Drosophila melanogaster: one gene and its partners. The protein of the gene in region 1 interacts with the protein of each later gene in a pairwise test. Each region holds a gene or a part of one and is shown in the gene's direction. Other genes may lie near its edges.

What was found.
Region 2: the proteins of CG6357 (region 1) and Cpr78Cc interact in a two-hybrid assay, tested with the Drosophila melanogaster proteins (one large-scale study listed by BioGRID).
Region 3: the proteins of CG6357 (region 1) and CG10254 interact in a two-hybrid assay, tested with the Drosophila melanogaster proteins (one large-scale study listed by BioGRID).
Region 4: the proteins of CG6357 (region 1) and CG14332 interact in a two-hybrid assay, tested with the Drosophila melanogaster proteins (one large-scale study listed by BioGRID).

Annotation. Positions count from the first base shown.
Region 1 is NT_033778.4:13,838,215-13,842,253, forward strand, and holds CG6357 (uncharacterized protein), read left to right. Parts: upstream 1-1,838; 5' UTR 1,839-1,863; coding exon 1,864-2,091; intron 2,092-2,160; coding exon 2,161-2,430; intron 2,431-2,490; coding exon 2,491-2,760; intron 2,761-2,818; coding exon 2,819-3,103; intron 3,104-3,166; coding exon 3,167-3,433; 3' UTR 3,434-3,529; downstream 3,530-4,039. Other genes in the region: CtsL2 (cathepsin L2), read left to right, coding at 275-1,004.
Region 2 is NT_037436.4:21,298,929-21,301,729, forward strand, and holds Cpr78Cc (cuticular protein 78Cc), read left to right. Parts: upstream 1-1,651; 5' UTR 1,652-1,692; coding exon 1,693-1,704; intron 1,705-1,774; coding exon 1,775-2,122; 3' UTR 2,123-2,243; downstream 2,244-2,801. Other genes in the region: CG43702 (uncharacterized protein), read left to right, coding at 1-82.
Region 3 is NT_033777.3:23,688,926-23,696,688, reverse strand, and holds CG10254 (uncharacterized protein), read left to right. Parts: upstream 1-1,705; 5' UTR 1,706-1,736; intron 1,737-1,962; exon of another isoform or gene 1,963-2,163; 5' UTR 2,164-2,240; coding exon 2,241-2,666; exon of another isoform or gene 2,667-2,683; intron 2,684-2,827; coding exon 2,828-3,090; intron 3,091-3,149; coding exon 3,150-3,354; intron 3,355-3,541; coding exon 3,542-3,800; intron 3,801-3,876; coding exon 3,877-4,618; intron 4,619-4,676; coding exon 4,677-5,580; intron 5,581-5,643; coding exon 5,644-6,613; intron 6,614-6,678; coding exon 6,679-6,897; intron 6,898-6,951; coding exon 6,952-7,160; 3' UTR 7,161-7,682; downstream 7,683-7,763. Other genes in the region: prt (portabella), read left to right, coding at 4-96; CG10252 (uncharacterized protein), read left to right, coding at 527-545, 607-825, 886-1,072, 1,144-1,408.
Region 4 is NT_033777.3:17,421,166-17,424,179, reverse strand, and holds CG14332 (uncharacterized protein), read left to right. Parts: upstream 1-1,977; 5' UTR 1,978-2,003; coding exon 2,004-2,378; 3' UTR 2,379-2,490; downstream 2,491-3,014.

The DNA of each region.
Region 1 (4,039 bases):
GAAATCAGAATTGATCAAATATTCCGACCATAGGTTTGTGGTTTCCCGAAAACTATAACCAAATGGGTGGAAACAAACAAAACCCTTCCATATCGAACTTATTTATTACGACGAAGCTCCATAACAAATGTTTCATAACTTATCGGTTGTTTGTCATACATTTAAGAACATTATGAATAACATTTAAATGTAGTCTGGTTGCCACTTAAGTAAGCTACTAATTTGCTTTAATCTTTGCTTAACGGAATACTAAAATGTTTTACTTACCTTGCAGGAGATATACGAATGGCCATATCAACTTTGTGACTGCCAGGAATCCGGCGAGTGCCAATCTTCCCGAGATGTTCGATTGGCGCGAGAAGGGCGGAGTGACGCCACCGGGATTCCAGGGTGTGGGATGCGGTGCCTGCTGGTCGTTCGCCACCACAGGAGCGCTCGAAGGACATCTATTCCGGCGGACTGGAGTGCTGGCCTCGCTGTCGCAGCAGAATCTGGTGGACTGTGCCGATGACTACGGCAACATGGGCTGTGACGGTGGCTTCCAGGAGTACGGTTTCGAGTACATACGCGATCACGGTGTAACGCTGGCCAACAAATATCCGTACACACAGACGGAGATGCAGTGCCGTCAGAACGAAACCGCCGGACGTCCACCGCGCGAGAGTCTGGTGAAAATTCGCGATTATGCCACCATTACTCCCGGGGATGAGGAGAAGATGAAGGAGGTGATTGCCACGTTGGGACCGTTGGCGTGCTCCATGAACGCGGACACCATTTCGTTTGAGCAGTACAGCGGTGGCATCTACGAGGACGAGGAGTGCAATCAGGGCGAACTGAATCACTCGGTAACCGTGGTGGGCTATGGAACGGAAAATGGACGCGACTACTGGATCATCAAGAACTCGTACTCTCAGAATTGGGGCGAGGGCGGCTTTATGCGCATCCTCCGGAATGCAGGTGGATTCTGCGGCATCGCCAGCGAGTGCAGCTACCCCATTCTGTAGGCTCACAACTGCGCCATGCAATTAGTTAGATAGTATAGTCAATTAAAAACCACGAATTTATAACTTTGTTACTGTAGTCGTAAGCTGTGTGGGTCACCACATCGATTCCATGAGTCACGCGGTTAATAAATGAAACAAGTGCCTTATCGGTTTGTGTTGCTTTCTGGGGAAATTCTGAGAAATTGGATCGTAGTCTTAACGGCTATGCACACAAAAATTAATTTTCGGTCTTATTTATTTTTTGAGAAACATTTTCTTAATGAAGAACAACGCTGTGTGGGAAGTTGTTTGAGAAAGTAATAAATTTCAATTTGGCAAAGTGGATAGAAAATGAACAATGCACACATAACCGTATAACCGTGTAAATTTGCGACAAATTTAATATAAACAAGAAATAACGCTACAGTCGGGTGTCACGACTAATGCATACCCGTTAATCAGAAAAAGCTGCAAGCAGCGTAACGTTTGTTTACAGCATTTGTGTGGAAAACACATACATATCTAGAATGTAGTTGTTACATTCCTATCAACGAGCCTAGTATTCCCGCCGAGTAATGGGTATAAAAACGGGGCTTAAATTTCAAATTAATTTAATTCAATACTATTGCAACAAATCATAAAGCAATTATGCCAGTTGTTATATATTTGGTGGGCAAGGTCACGTAAATGCAGTTACTCTTTTAAAAGATCAACACTTAAGAGAAAAGAGAGCAAAAGAAATCGCTCTCGTTGTCGGTTTTTATTTAGATTTCTCTCTGAATGCAGCTGATTTTGAGTACTTGCAATTATATATGTATGTATTCCCCATATAATTCGCGATTCTGGCAGTGCGGAGCGCAGTACGAGAAAAGTGTTCAAGATGACCTCAGCTCGAATTTTACTTGGCGTCCCACTGCTCCTGTATTTGATGGGCGTGGCTCTGGGCGTACCAGTAAGCACATCATCACCTGCTACACAAAAAATCAATCCAGAGATTGGGGTTACTACTGGGAAAAGCGACGCTGACTCATCGACACCCACAATTGAACACACCTCTGGCTTATCTGAGTTCGAGGAGGAATGCCAGTTTGCATGGCAAAGGTTCTTGGTAAGTTTTTTGATCGCATAATTCCAAGAAAGGGTATCGTTCAAGGAAGTTATTTGTATACACTCCAAGGTCGACTTTGATGTACACTACGATAATGACTACGAACGGCAAAAGCGACGTGATATATTCTGCGAAAATTGGCAAAAAGTTCGCGATCACAATTTGAAATACGATTTGGGAGTTGTCAGCTTCAAGAAGGGTATCAACCAGTGGAGTGATCTTACCTTTGAAGAGTGGAAAGAGAAACAAACTCCCAAAGTTATGCCAGAAATCGCTAGTGAATCATCAAAGGAGGAGCGAGACAAAGTCAATTGCCAGGCTGCATGGGAAAAGTTTTTGGTAAGATTAGCTAGGTTATTAAAACCAACTTGGTATTAATATGTATGATATGAATTACAGATTGACTTTGGAGCGCAGTATAAGAATGCAAATGAAACCGAGAAACGCCGCAATGTATTTTGTGCAAACTGGAGGGCGATTGTGGAGCACAATGTGCAGTATGAAAAGTGGGCAGAGCCCTTCAAGAGGGACATAAATCAGTGGACTGATCATACTATTGAGGAACGATCTAGTCCTGCTCCCGAGATTCGTAAGGAAGAAGCCACTACATCTACATCCGAAATAGATAATGATAATATCATATGCCAGCCGGCTTGGGAGAAGTTCCTGGTAAGATATGGTTGGGTATTTAAAGAATTTTTATTAAAGTTGCTTTTATCAATTGCAGATTGACTTTAAGCCGTCTTATCAAGATGATACTGAAACCGAAAAGCGACGAAATGTATTTTGCGACAACTTTAAGTCGATACATAAGCACAATGTTCAATTCGATTTGGGAAATATTTCTTTTAAGAAGGGTATAAATCAGTGGAGTGATTTGACCGTTGAGGAGTGGAAAAACAAACAACGACCTGCTTTTAATCCAGAGTTTTCTAAAGTTGAAGCTACTACAAAAATATCTAAGGATAAGAGGGATGATAATACATGTCAGGCAGCATGGAAAAAGTTTTTGGTAATATTTGGCTTGCAATGTAAATAGAATTTGAGAATTTGAATGAATATATCTTTATTACAGATTGATTTCGGTGCGAAATATCAAGATGAAAAAGAAACAGAAAAACGCCGAACTATATTTTGCGACAATTGGAAAGCGATTCAGGAACACAATGAGCAGTTCGAATTGGGAGTGGAATCTTTCAAGAAGGGCATAAATCAGTGGAGTGATCTAACTGTAGAAGAGTGGAAAACCAAACAACGACCTAATTTAGCTCCAGAGTTTTCAAAAGAAGAAACGACTACAAAAATAAGCAAGGAGAAGAAATACAAAAAAAATGTTTTTTAAAAACTAGATGATAAGATATTGTACCGAGTACATTTTCAGATGAAATGTTTGTCACCTTTTAAATACACGCAAAAATATTGCTACTAACGCAAAGAGAATACCTTAGTGATTTTGGGTTAATTTTTAAAAATATGTATTTATTATTATTTCTTGAGGGGCTGTCCAGTTGAGAATCTTGCTTGAGGAGTTTATCTATTACAATAGTGTTTCGCAAATGTTCAAGCCGATTTTATGGCTGGGTTCGCTATTTAAATCGATCATTAAGTTTTAAATGAGTAAATTTTGTTTTATGTTTCTTTCACTACCTTTTTGTTTTATAACGCACACGAACTCTAAATGATTAATTTATACTTGTATATTTGCTGAGATCCCTATCTCCTTGTTGCATTTAACAGGGCGCATTATTCGTATTACACATACAATCCGTAAATATATATAATATATATGTATATAGTATTTAATTTAACAAATACATTTGTAGGTTATCGCAAGTTGCTGCACTAAGTGAACGTTTTTATGTAATCAATATGTTTACATTCATTGATATCTGAGTACATCGAAGTGGACAACACACCGCTTCTTTACAATGCATAATGGGTATTGTTG
Region 2 (2,801 bases), on another chromosome or scaffold:
CTTTGACCTGCCCGAGGGAGGATACATACGGGTGTTTTATCACGTGGATAAGTACGGCTTCTATACCGAAACTTTGCACTGACATAGAATGATTGAGAGTGTGTGTGTGTGTCTGTGCAGTTCTGCCATAATTGGAAACCAGATTTATTTCAACGAGTCTAATTTGTATTTAAGTTTATAAAAATAAAAATACAAATGCAAATATAGATCAAAAAGTTGCTTAAAACCGTTATAGAAATGCTGTTTAATATCTCGTGATATTCGGTAAGCAGACGTCGAAATGATCTGAGAATTTGTGTATTTGAATTTTAATAATTTAGCAATTCAGATTTGAGAGAATGTAGCCATCTGTCCAATACGTCATAGATTTCGGATAGGGCTTGGATGCTGGTGGGCCGGCTGAACTAGTTTGCCAGATCGGGTGGAGCGTCGATTGATGGGCATTTTATTAGGCGGAGTGCTAAGTGCGAATAGGCCTAGAATACAATTTATTACTGGACAGCGAATTTGTATGCTAATAAGCTGAACTTGCTGTTTTTTTTTTTTGGGGAATTTAAGAATTCCTTGATGAGCAAACAGGTTGTCCGCCTGCGCTCATAGCAAGCCAAATGGCCAATGATAATGAAATCGAAACGAATGATAAATTGGATTGGATGGAATTAAATTAGCTCGCCACGAGCTGCTGCCCCCTTCCAAATCCAAATCCAAATCCAGGTCCATCTCTAAACTTACCATCCACGGGCGAATGTCACAGTCACATGTTCCATTACCGTCGACATAACTCCAAGCCCCCAAAAGCTAACCAAAACTACTATTGGCCATTAAGTGCAAAGTCAAATGATTACCGCTACCAAGGCAGAAGCGTGTTGATCCATCGGCAGAAACCACTTGGAATGGGTTCAGGTGCTTCATTATACTCTAGCTAAGGCTGATATTATTTGGATCAGAGGTTTGCTTTTTTGAGATTGGTAAGATAAGTATATTGTATAAATATTTGAATTTGTTTTCGAAATGCAAATGTTTCAAGATAAGTATCATAAGCCACACCCCTTTTAGAGGCCGTGTAGTTCAAAGTCTTATATTGAAAAAAGAAGACACAAGCCAGTTTAGTCATTGAATTACCCAACTTCTACAGAATTACCACAATACACTTAATTTTAAATGACCATGCATGCTAATTTGTGCTTTATTTAAGGAAAATTTAAAACTATAATCCCTTGTTTGTTCTTCTATAAGAAAAAAAAAACGAAATAATAGCTCTCAAAGAAGTGAGCCCACAAGCCCGATTAATCAAAAAGAAAATAGTTTCCGATTAAGACGAAAATTGCTAGGCAGATAATTAAACTAAGCTAAGCCAAATGCCTATGATTTCTAGGTAAACTTAGCAATATCTGGCAAGGGTATTTCGCACTGCGGTGCTGAAATTCAGATCTCCTTTCCATTTTTTTACTAGCTGCTGAGCTGAATTTTATTCAATTCGATCGGTATGCTGCTGCCGAAAAAAAAAAACGACAAACGTATTAAGTTTGATATTTAGTTTGGAGCGGCGTTTGGAGTTCAGAGCCAGATTAGAGACGTCAGCGATGGCGACGCCAACGCCAAAGTCGGCGTTGCCGTTGGCTGCCTATAAAAGCCACCGCCTGCGAAGATCACCCAACCAGTGAGGATTATACAAGCCAAGAAACCAGCAAGATGTTTAAGCTAGTGAGTAGACTTAGCCGCCCGGAAGGATCCGGATTCAAAATCAGAACGTGAACGTGTGTAACCATTTCAGTCGCTCTGCCTGCTCGCCGCTCTGATGCTGGCCAATGTGTATGCGGACAACATAAACAAGGATGCCGTGATCACCCGCGAGGATGTTAATCCTGCCGACGCCGAGGGCAACTACCAATACGCCTTCGAGACCAGCAATGGTATTCAGGCCCAGGAGGCCGGAAACGTCAATGGCATTAGCGGAAGCAGCTCTTACATCTCCCCCGAAGGCGTCCCCATCTCACTGACCTACGTCGCCGATGAAAACGGCTTCCAGCCTCAGGGCGATCACCTTCCCACCGCTCCCCCAATCCCGGAGGCCATCCTCCGCGCCCTGGAATACATCGCCGCCCACCCTCCACAGCCCTAAATCCCCGATTGGATACCCCATTCAAAGCCTAGTCAGTGCTTTTGCTAAACATGAGTTATATCTAGTTCTAGAAAGTCTGTACATAAATCCCCCAAAAAATAAAAACATAAATAGTTACATCAAATATACCCACAGCCATGCTGATCATTTGAACAGAGTCAAGTATGTTTTCATTATACAAATCGGCAAAAACTAGCTGTACCAAATTGCAAACTTAAACTTCCCAGCGTCTGTTTTTGAATCCATAATTTTTAACCCCAAATTGCATACAAATTATATTATAATATCTTAGTTGTTTTTGGAAGGTCACACTTTTGAGCTGATATTTCTTTTGGGGTAAGGTTATTTAATCACAGATGCAAATGAAGGAACTTGAAATAGATGTCAGATTGTGTCAAAATACTTTATTTTAACCTGATTTTTCATAACGTTTTAAAGTACGCCTCCAATATCGGTTCATTCATTCATCAATCTTGAATCTGAGTCAGGAACATTAGCACATACTGTTTCCAAATGCTTTTCATAATTAAATCAATAATCTTGTGTTTGAAATGTGTTACCATATTAAGACAAATTAAACTGCTGTCCAAAATCATTTATCACACTGCAAACCAGACCCAGGAACTAACCAAGGCAAAAGAAAAAATTCAGCATAAGCAACACCAGACGAACATGAGCA
Region 3 (7,763 bases), on another chromosome or scaffold:
CAGGCCCTTAGGGAACAGCATAATGATATGCTGCTCCAAAGCAGCGGGCGGGGATCTAGGTATAAACAACTTTACAACTCCATGGATGTGGAATAAGCTGTACTGCCCAGTTGTCCAGCAAAATAGCAAACAACCTTGAGTGTGCAAATAAGGCGTTCCTTTGGCTCAATAAAGCAATATATCTGGAGCTGATTTTCGTAAACAATTTATTTTTCCGATAAAATTCGAATCTCCTATTATTAAAATCACTTTGCCATGTCTTGAAGTAACTTAGGTTATTATGATCAAATTTTCGGAATAAAAAGAATTACGTAATTAATATTTGAATGGGTTATGTGTGAAGGAATTACGGTGGTAAAACTTTTCTATAACAAGTGTGCTATGGCTCTGACTTCGAATGGAGCTGCGATGTGAAGTTCTATGAAAGCCTCATTCTGCTACTGGAATCTGTTCGGCCAACACCTAATATTGGGTTCTAAATTTTCAAAATAGATTTTCTTTCTAATATTGCACAAAACTAACAAAAATGGCGGTGCGACCTTTTGGTGAGTGAGAATTCATAAAATTGTAATGTGGTAAATAATATATTATACATGCTTTTTGTAGGCCCTGGACCCGGCGTTTACATGCTGCCCCCCACTGTGGGCTATGATAAGCATGACAACCGCAAACAGCGGTTGCCGCAGTACTCTTTCGGCATGCGCACCCGTGCTCCTGGTGAGGATCTGGGTCCTGGTCCAGGGGCCTACAAGGTGGACAAGTTGACTCGCTATGGCACGAGCAAGGGTTTGGAGTTCTCGATGGCGCCCAGAACCAATGTCATCGGTAAGATAACTTATTAGTACTGAAGACAAGAACGTTTTTGGTTAAATTGCTTAATCGTAGATAAGCGAAGCAGTCCCGGTCCGGGAGCACACGATGTTCATAATAGGCCATTCTTTAAGGGGGTTAATGCTCCTTCGTATTCGATGGGCCTACGAACGGACTTTAACTTCAAGAAGGATGGTCCCGGTCCCAATGCCTACAAGTACGAGGTCAATGCCGTTCGTCCTGGAGTCCCGAGCTATAGCATGTGCGTATTTCAATCCTACCATAGTTATTCCTTTACTAAGTTGCCTATTTTTATTTGTACCTGTATCTCAGGGGACTACAAACAAAGATTTTGAACAAGACGAATTCTCCGGGTCCGGCTGCATATGGCGGTGGTGATATCAATGTCAAACTGACACGTGCTCCGATATACTCGATGCAGCCGCGCACCACTATTCCGGGCGAGAATGTCGGACCTGGACCCAACTACTACGACCTCATGTACTATCGTCCTGGCAAGAGTGGACCGGGCTACTCCTTTGGTGTGCGCCACCACCAGTTCGCTCCGCCTATGATAGTTAGATGTGACAATATGTAGACCAAGTGCAATATTGGAAGAAATATATGCTAAAATTTTTGTGAATAAACAATTCTTTTTAAACCAAGTTTCATTGTTTATGGAAAATGCTTAACGGGGTATTAAAATGAGATTGAATTTGTTTTAACTTGGTAGAACGCAATGAGCGTTACCTTTATTGGAAAAGGAAGGGAGCATTTTGATGCTAGTGCGCCTATGATGTGATACACTTGGCTCTGTACATGTCTAAAATACAAGTAGTCCCTGAACGATGTGTCAAATTAACATTTGATAATAGAAATTTTTGGAAAAAGCACATTTACATTTACATTATTATATCAACGTAACGGTGAGTTTTTAGGCAGACAACAACACGCGTTACTATTTTACGGAATTGAGAGTAACTGAATTTGTATTTAGACTATCCCATTTCAATTTCGCGGGCAAATGCTCATCTTGTTTCAACCGTTGTTTTCTCTTAACAGAGCGCTGTTATCAAGATAATGGTTCGAGTGCTCGCTTAAAGGCACTGGAACTCGGAACCATTGATTTTATCTAACTCCGGTATTTTTCAGTCACAAAATTCTTTTTATCAAAGTTTCTCGTTTTGTTTGTAGATTTTGCCTGTTTTATTTATAGTTTTTCGAAAGAAGTTGGCGAAATTGTCCAAGCAAATTTATAGTTTGCTCCAGTGTCCGTAAATTAGATGTGTGTTTGTGTGTCAGTGGCTCGTCGGGCATATTATAGGAATTTGTAATAATTAGTGGCCAATAAAGGGAGAAGAAATATATTCACCGAGCATTCGCCACGGCAAAGTTCTTGCCGTCCATGTTCCCAGCTTACGATTGGTAACATGATGAGCGATGTGGCGGGTGCGGCCGCTCCAGGTGGTACACCAGGTCAACCGCAGCAGGAGCAGGAACAGTCTTTGGCGGAGGCTGCTCCGCGTACACCGACGCTTGCGAATCCTCCTCCATCCTCACAGGAGCTGGGTCGGACCCCCAACCAGGAGAGCCGCCATAACGCAAATTCCCACTCCCGTCGATCGGGTGGTGGCCAGGTGCCATCGAAAGCCCAGGGTAACACCGAGTCCCAGTTCTTCTTAGAGGATGGGGTTTTTCGCATTGATCGGCGCGGTCGCGTCCATTTTGGCTTGGTAACCGCAACGACCGAGACCTATTCCTCCTCCGAAGAGGAAGATGTCGATTCGCTGTCCAGGGGCGAGGTGCGTGTGGCCTTCTATCCGGGTGGCAAGGAGATGGTGATGACGGAACAGTCGGTGAGTAAACTCCATTGAGGTTATGTAAGTCTCACGGTCTCTCCAAAAAAATAACTGTTTTCACAACTGTTTTGAGTTTGCTCTTCAAGTTCTTTTGACACGTGTTTGTTTGCTTCTTTTCTTTTGTTCCATCGACATCCGAACATGTGGCATATACACAGATTGGTCTGGCGGATCGCACCCTAATGCCAGGCGATGTGGTGCGGAGGCGTCTGCCAGGAGAAAACGTTTTGGCTGGCCAGGCGGGCTACGTGCGGGATGTCAATGTACGCGCCGATGTTATGGTAATGGGCTCCAGAATGGTCATTAAAAATGTGCCCGCCGAGCGACTGCGTCCGATATCCGAGTGGAACCAATATGTGCCTCTCTGCATGGACACCTGGATAGGCACCATCATAGACATTAATGAGTGCGCTGTGCTCAAGTATGTTTCATATCTCTCAATCAACTCGGGCGAACATTATTTTCAATATTTTTTTGCAGATCATCCAACGGTGCCCGTGTGGAAATCACCTCCAACGATTTCCACAAGTTTAAGGATGCTGTGTCCGAATGCGATCGCACGGTCTTCAATCCGAATGTCTTCTTTCCAGGAAACATTGTAATCGGTCGCATGCCGCCCCCGGATCGTGTCAAGAATCTGACCCCGGAGATTACCCATCCCTTAACTCGCAAGGGTCGTGCTGTGGTAGGGAGATATTAATCCTTTATAGATTTGTAGTCTCAGATTGACCGATTGTATATACTAGTTACGCTATTATTTTATGTAGCATTCGCCCTAGTTTGATTTGTCATAGTAGATTAATTACATTTTTACTTAACTAAAGAAGGCCCTCCCATACTATCGCTAATTGAAAATAACCTTATTTATCCAGTACACCGTGGAGTCTGTAGAAACTACATCAATTAATGTGGATTGGTCCTGCCGTGCAATCGGAAATGCCACGGGCAGCGATGACACAGACAGCGATCCTCTAAAGGAGCCAAGGTCCTTGATCAAGGGTGAGGAACTGCACAAAGTCAAGCGCCTTAGCCTCTATGAGTCCTACGAGCTGCAAATTCACGATCGATTCTACCTCAAATATTCAAAATGTGATCTATTAGTTAAATATGCCGACTGGGAAAATGAACAAGGTAGGATGTTAACAGGAAATAGGTTTAGAGGTAACAATAAATTATATATATATATATTGTATTTCACGTATTACAGCGGAGAAGTACATCCCCATTTTTCACGCCCAGAAAAAAATGCAGCGCAAGGCCAGCAAATTGAACGCATCTGCTTCCACTAGTGGAAATGCTCGCAGTGTACCAAAGTTCCGCCGCATGCCCAATAAAATCAGCGGTATGCGACTGCCTCGACCGCCAAGCGACCAGACTCACAATGCTTGCAAGTCGTCTAAGCGCAGCAAAGAGGATGTGTTGACATCGGAGGATGAGGATGAGTTCGAGGAGTTCATGCAGCCACTTGATCAATCGATGACTGCCGAAAAAGAAGTGGAGGTTGCTGAGGACGCACTGCCTCCGTCCGCTGCTACCACAGCTGCAGCCGGTGTCGAAGTCCAGGCTCCCAGAATAACGATGCGATCTGCTAAGAGGCGACAAGTAAAGAAAAAAATCCGCTCTGTCAAGAAAACAATTTATTCGCCTTTTAATAAAAAGGAAACCACTCCCAAGGATGGCGATGAAATCGTAGTGGAAACGCTGGTCGTTTACAGCTCGGTGACGGTCGTCTGGCAGGATGGCACGGTGGAGTCAGGCGTTCACTCCACTCAGCTCTATCCTATTCATCATTTGGACAACCATGAATTCTTTCCCGGTGATTTTGTGACCAAAGCCAACGATATCAGTACGGGAGCCACAGACTACGGGGTAATTCAGTGCGTGGACCATGATGCACGCATAGCCAAGGTCATGTGGTTCAATATCTACACGAATATTGATAATCCAATGTGAGTGCACTTTTTTGTTTTTAGCTATATAAATTATAATTCTATATATTTTGTTTAGCCCTTTGTTCAAAGGATTGGAGGAGCTGAGCGTTTATGACATGAAGGATCACACCGATTACCAGTACCGACCCGGCACAGTGGTGATCCGAGTGTCAAACTTCACGGGTGAGGATGTTAACTCTACTGCTGGTCAGGTGATCGACAACTACCCGAATGGTCGTGTGCGTGTTTGGTGGGCGAAGGGCCATATCACATTGTGCTACCCTCAGGATCTCTTTCAACCATTTGAACAAGATGAACAAAATGAACAAGATCAAGATGTCTACGGATCAGATGGATCCGAAGACTCGTGGGAGACGGAATCGGAAAACAGCCACATATCGTCATCGGACAACGATGACGACATTCTTACGGGCATTGACAGAGCCACAGAGGCAATGAAAGTGCTAGAAAAGATGTTCCGCGTTTTACATCCCAATCGGAAAGCGGAAGTGCTTTACGATCTGCTGGATGTGTACAAAAATTGCCGGGCCTTAGACCGTTTGCTAAATACTAAATTTTTCGACGAGTTTAATTTCAAAGGCATTGTGCGTTGCAAGCCTATTACCTCTAAAGTTTGTTCTGACAGTGCCACCCATGAGCGCGCAACCCCAGAGACCCCAGAGACGTCGGCCGCCGTTCCCAAAGAGTCATCAACGCTCCAAGCTGAGTTGGAACCAGTTTTAATGGATCCGTCTGTTCAGTCATCATCAAGTCCTACTAAGCGAAAATCCTCTACGGAGATGGATGAAGTTCTATGCAAAAAGAGCACGGATGAGATCTCGGAGGAGCAAGATTACCAGGTGGAGGTAGTAGAGGTAATAGAAGATCCGCCGCTAGTGAGGGAGTATCGCTGCAAGTACAACGAAATGTTCGCCAACGCACGTAGAAGCATTGCAAAAGCGATTGAAAATCGTACTAAGGTAAGAGTCCTTCAAACAATAAAGAATTTTGTTTTTTTTTTACAACTTATCCTTTGCTGCCAGAATGATTCTGGCGTACACTCTCGCGGTGAAATCACCTCTGACGAGTCTAATAATCATCCAGACAGCGAAAATAAGTTGGACATAAAGCATCCCACAATAAATGTAATGGATGATTTGGAAATTGAATTGGTTGCAAGTGGAGATGCTGACGTCTGCGAAGTCTTCTGTTATTTGATCAAGTTTCAAATGGCCAGAATTCGCAAGACGGTCGCTGTGACGTTGGGCAAGACAAATGACAATCCCAAGCAAGAGAAAGAGGATGTTAGCGATGCAGAGGAAGCTATTGAGGCGGTCAGCCAGGAAGCGGAACTAGCCAATGATGGTGCTACCGAGTGCAATACAATGGCTGAGGACGAAGCTATGGAAGAGCCATTGAATCTCAACGCGCTTTCCGAGTCACTGCCGGCTATTGACCAGACAGGTCCCATGGCCTGCTCCTCACCATCTTGGTCAATAATTCCAGACACGCCCTCCGTGGACGAGAATTGTTTCCAAGTGCTGCCCAATGCACCAGCTGCACATAATTTTATTAGCAACCTGATTACCCCGGCCAACAAGGCGCAGTATCAGCGAGCTGTGCAGCGGGAATATCTTATGCTTAAGTCCTCGCTACCTAACGGAGTTGTGGTACGTGCCTACGAGGATCGCATGGACCTAATGTCTGTAATGATGGTGGGTCCCAAGCGCACGCCCTACCAGAACGCTCTATTCTTTTTCGACTTTCAATTTGGGCGCGATTACCCGAAGAGCCCGCCGGTGTGCCACTACATCAGCTACTGCACGGATCGTCTCAATCCAAACTTGTACGAGGGTGGCAGGGTATGTGTGTCGCTACTTGGCACATGGATGGGACGCGACAACGAAGTTTGGTCGCCCAGCAGCACCATGCTCCAGGTGCTCGTCTCCATACAGGGACTCATACTGGTCGATGAGCCCTACTATAATGAGGCGGGCTACGAAAAGCAAAGAGGTAAAGTGCTGTTTCTATTCAATGCCATAGACTGAACTTAAAATGGTTTCGCCATTTATTTTTAGGCACCCAACTGGGCAATGAGAACTCTCGTGTCTACAACGAGATGGCCATCATAAAAATTGCCCAATCCACGGTGAAGCAGTTGACAAATCCGCCGCTCATCTTTCGCAATGAACTTATTGAGCACTTCAAGGAGTTTGGCACCGAGCTGTATGCCCGCATGCGGGCCTGGTCGGAGTATTCTCTTGAGGCACAGCGCCAAAATATAACCAAAATCAAGGGTGAGTCAGCCAATAACTCAGTTTTGCTCGATTATTCATAATCCATTTTCTTAGACATGCCTGTGGAGTACAAGGCGTCTTGCGAGCTACCCGAATTCCCGCTGCTACCATGCAGTCGAGGCTTTTGCATAGCGGTCAAGCGCGTTTTGAGCCAACTTCAAAGCGAGCTAACTGCCTTGGGTGCCAATCTGGTTACGGATGAACGTAATGGCATTGCGACTGGAATTGGCACTGCCCCGCGCGCTGCTCCGGAGGAGATCTGATTGCCACTCATCCTGGCCAGCGTATGCCTATGAAAATGGTGCCTATCAGAAGAACCACAAGACTTTTGCCGCCTGCGTTTTGGGAGTCTGATCTGGCCCTCGGCAAGTGTCAGCGTTTTATAGCCCCTATCTCGAATCTCGAATTTCTATCCGCTCGTATTGCTGGCAGACAGCCTTTTAGTTAAACAAAATTTTCTACGATTATTGGTTATTAGTTTAAAAAACAACAAACAAAGCTGAATTATATATAGCGCGCAACTAAGCATAAATTGTTAAAGGAATCCGCCTCATGTAATGTCAGCGAGTTTTACTTTATGTTGTTATCAGGCCAGCTAACAAATAAAATTTAATGTTTTGTTGCGAATATTGTGAACGCTGGCCTACGCGAATATTTGTAGGCATTCCACTAGAACCTAGCTTAGTTAGTCCATCCCACGTCCAATCAGCACCATGTACGTAATATTGTAAGCTAGCCAATGCGAGAAATGTGAATAAACTAGCAATTTTATTTATTATGCCTCCAATTTCTGCTTTATCCAATCGATGAAAGCCCCCCTGAGGGTATATACACCGGGTTATCCACCGAGGCCGCACTGCTTCGTG
Region 4 (3,014 bases), on another chromosome or scaffold:
CTTTTATTTAACTCAATTTTTGCTCGCAGTTGACGTTGTTGTATGAGCATTTAATGCCGAAATTTTGTATTATCGGCCCGGTTTGACTGCCTTGAGTCCGGCTGACTGCTTTTTCTCTATTTAATATTATGAGACTTTTTTTCGTGGCTTTTTGCTATTTAAACATGCTAGTAATTTTTAATGGCGTGTGACATTTTTGTTTACGCACAGTCTCAATGTAGAGCAAAACATTAGCATGTCGCCGGTATTAGTTTACCAATTTTCTTGCTGCCATTGAGGCATTTGACGGTGTCTTAATTGATATTTATCGCTGGACGATTGCCATGTTCATCATAATAGAGTCGTGTAGCCGACAAAAAGCTCATTACTTTAGCTGACTGGTGGCTGCATGGTAAACGCGCCTACAATTTGGCCATTTGATTAGCCTCACCTCGTCATGGTCGCCGGGGCCCCAAATGGCCGATCCAATACGGCACATAAAATCCAATTTAATTAAGTTGGACTCTCGGATTGAGACGCAGTCGGAGGATCGAGACTCAGATGGAGGCCCACAAAATCACAAAGTAGCAGCTGCCGTGGCAGACAACCTTGCCAACATTCTTAACGTGTTCAAGATTTTTACCAACGCACTGCATTTAGGTTTGTTGTTGTCGCGTTCACTTTTCAAATGCTTACGAAATGTCAATATTCGGCACAAAGTTATTTGTTATTTGATCGGATCGATTGAGCAATTGTTGATATACAATTTTTCTGTGTTTGTTCTTTTTGTCTAACGGTTTCTCATTGATTTGTTAGCTAATTGTATACGAAAAATGTAATTAAAATTAAAACGAGTAACTGGAAACCACAACGCTCGCATGTTAGCTTGACAAACGAAAAATAGGTAAATAAAAAATGTTAACACCTAGATCGCACAGCTGGCGACAACGGTGCGAATGAGTCATATTGCACCAGAGTAGAGTTTCAATTAGTTGCAAATTACGTGCCTAAAGCTAAGAACCAAACCTAAAAAATGTTATGCCGAGTAATTATAAAATATTTGGTATTAAAAGCATACTTGAACACATATGAGTGATACACCCAAAAATGGTTCACACACTTGTGTTTACTTTCTAAATTTCAGAAATCGCAAAATGATTTTACGTAATTTACGTAATTCAATGTTGCCACCATGACATTTCATTTTTACCATTTTTTCATTATTATTGCCCACCTATCAAACCTCAATTGGGTTTGCAATTTTTTAAACAATCGTAAGCCTAATTTGCTTTCATTGTTATGGATAATAAACGGACCCTGAGCTATATATGGCAAGGTTAACCATTATTTTGGGTCTCCATCACTTGAGCCTATATTTTCAAAACTATTTTCGCAAATGCCTTACTTCCTGGCAACCGCGATCATCGCGGGTGTTTCTTTTTTGGCTTACCAATTGGCCGGCTTAATCAAGCCTTCTATATGCCAATTAAATCCATGGCTGCTAGTAATGTTAGTTAGACCATAATTTTATGAAAAAGAGCCTTCTATGTCTTGCTAGTCATGTTTTATGCATAAATTGATTTAAGAGTTGAAAATGCGTCTGCGCATGTAGTATATATCTCTGGTTTTTTCTATGAAATTTTGTGTTCAGCTACATATAACAACGCTTGCTAAGGTATGTGCTTCTAACTTGAATTCATATTTACTCATTCATATTTTTTATATGAATAATAGCAGGTGGTTGTTGAACTCTTTCATTCTGATTTATCATCTGCTAAACACTGAAATTACAAAACTGGATCATTGGAGTATATTACAGATAAAATCTGACCTCAGTTTCTCCATTACAACATTATCAAAATTGTCATATAATTTAATTTTTAACATAATATGTACCTTTAACTGCATTCATGTTTTTTTTAAGTACTCAGGTATCTGCTATAAAAGGAGTAATTCCTTTTAAGCCAAGTATCAGTTGCTTCCTACTCTACATTCAAGCACACAATTAAAAGACCTATTTCAAAATGGCACTCTATTATATTTTGGTGATCAGTGTCCTGCTTGTCCTCGCCCAAGGATCGTATTTGTCGTCGGTGAATCAGGAATCCGGGGTGGGAGTGCATCAGTCTGGAGCTATTTCATCTAGAGCTCCAGCTGCCGGAATAACCCGTGGCTACTCCGCTGCCCCTCAGACCCAACGACCCATCTCTGGATATGGATCCCTCTCTGGTCCTGTTGGAGGATCCCGTCGAGTGCCCGTAGTTGGAGTGACCGGATCTCGTCCTCGTGGTGGAGCTCCGCGTAGTCCGTCTGCTGGAGCTCATGGACGTCCAAATGTAGGTGGATCTGCCCATGGAAATTCCTACCAGAATCGCCAACGCAGCCAAAAGCCTTATTAAGAAACAGAACTTATCATCAGCAAATGACCAAACCTAGATCTACATCCTTATTGTCACATTCTTATTCTACTCTCAAACCTTTTTCTATCGCAAATAATAACAAATGTTACATAAAAACGAAACTTGATTAAGATTATTTTACAATGGCAGGGATAAGATTGAGCATTGGGGAATATTCATTTCATAGGCATTACCTAGTACTTAATCCTTAGCAACAATGTCACCTTTAATGAACTGGTTAATACGCCAATTTCAGCTTTAGCGACAAGTTACGCACTCAATTGGCTGCACTTCATGATTTAAACATTTCTTGAATAGTTGCCCAAAGCGAGTAGCCATTTAAGCTGGGAATATGAATTCGATTTTCAAACCATTTAAAGTTACCAATTTGTTGATATTCGGCTATGTTAAGACGCTGATTCTTGAATCATTAAAATAAGCCAGAGTGCTAAAATAAACAATAAACTAAAGCGCATAAGCACATAAAGCACATATATATACATATGTAGGTTTTAGTACATCTTATTTCGTGCATAACTCTTTAATCATACATGTTTTTTTTTAAATAAATTTTTTATTTTATACATCCTACGATTCTAACTGCTTTACATTTTTTTTTTTTGTAATAAATCTGTA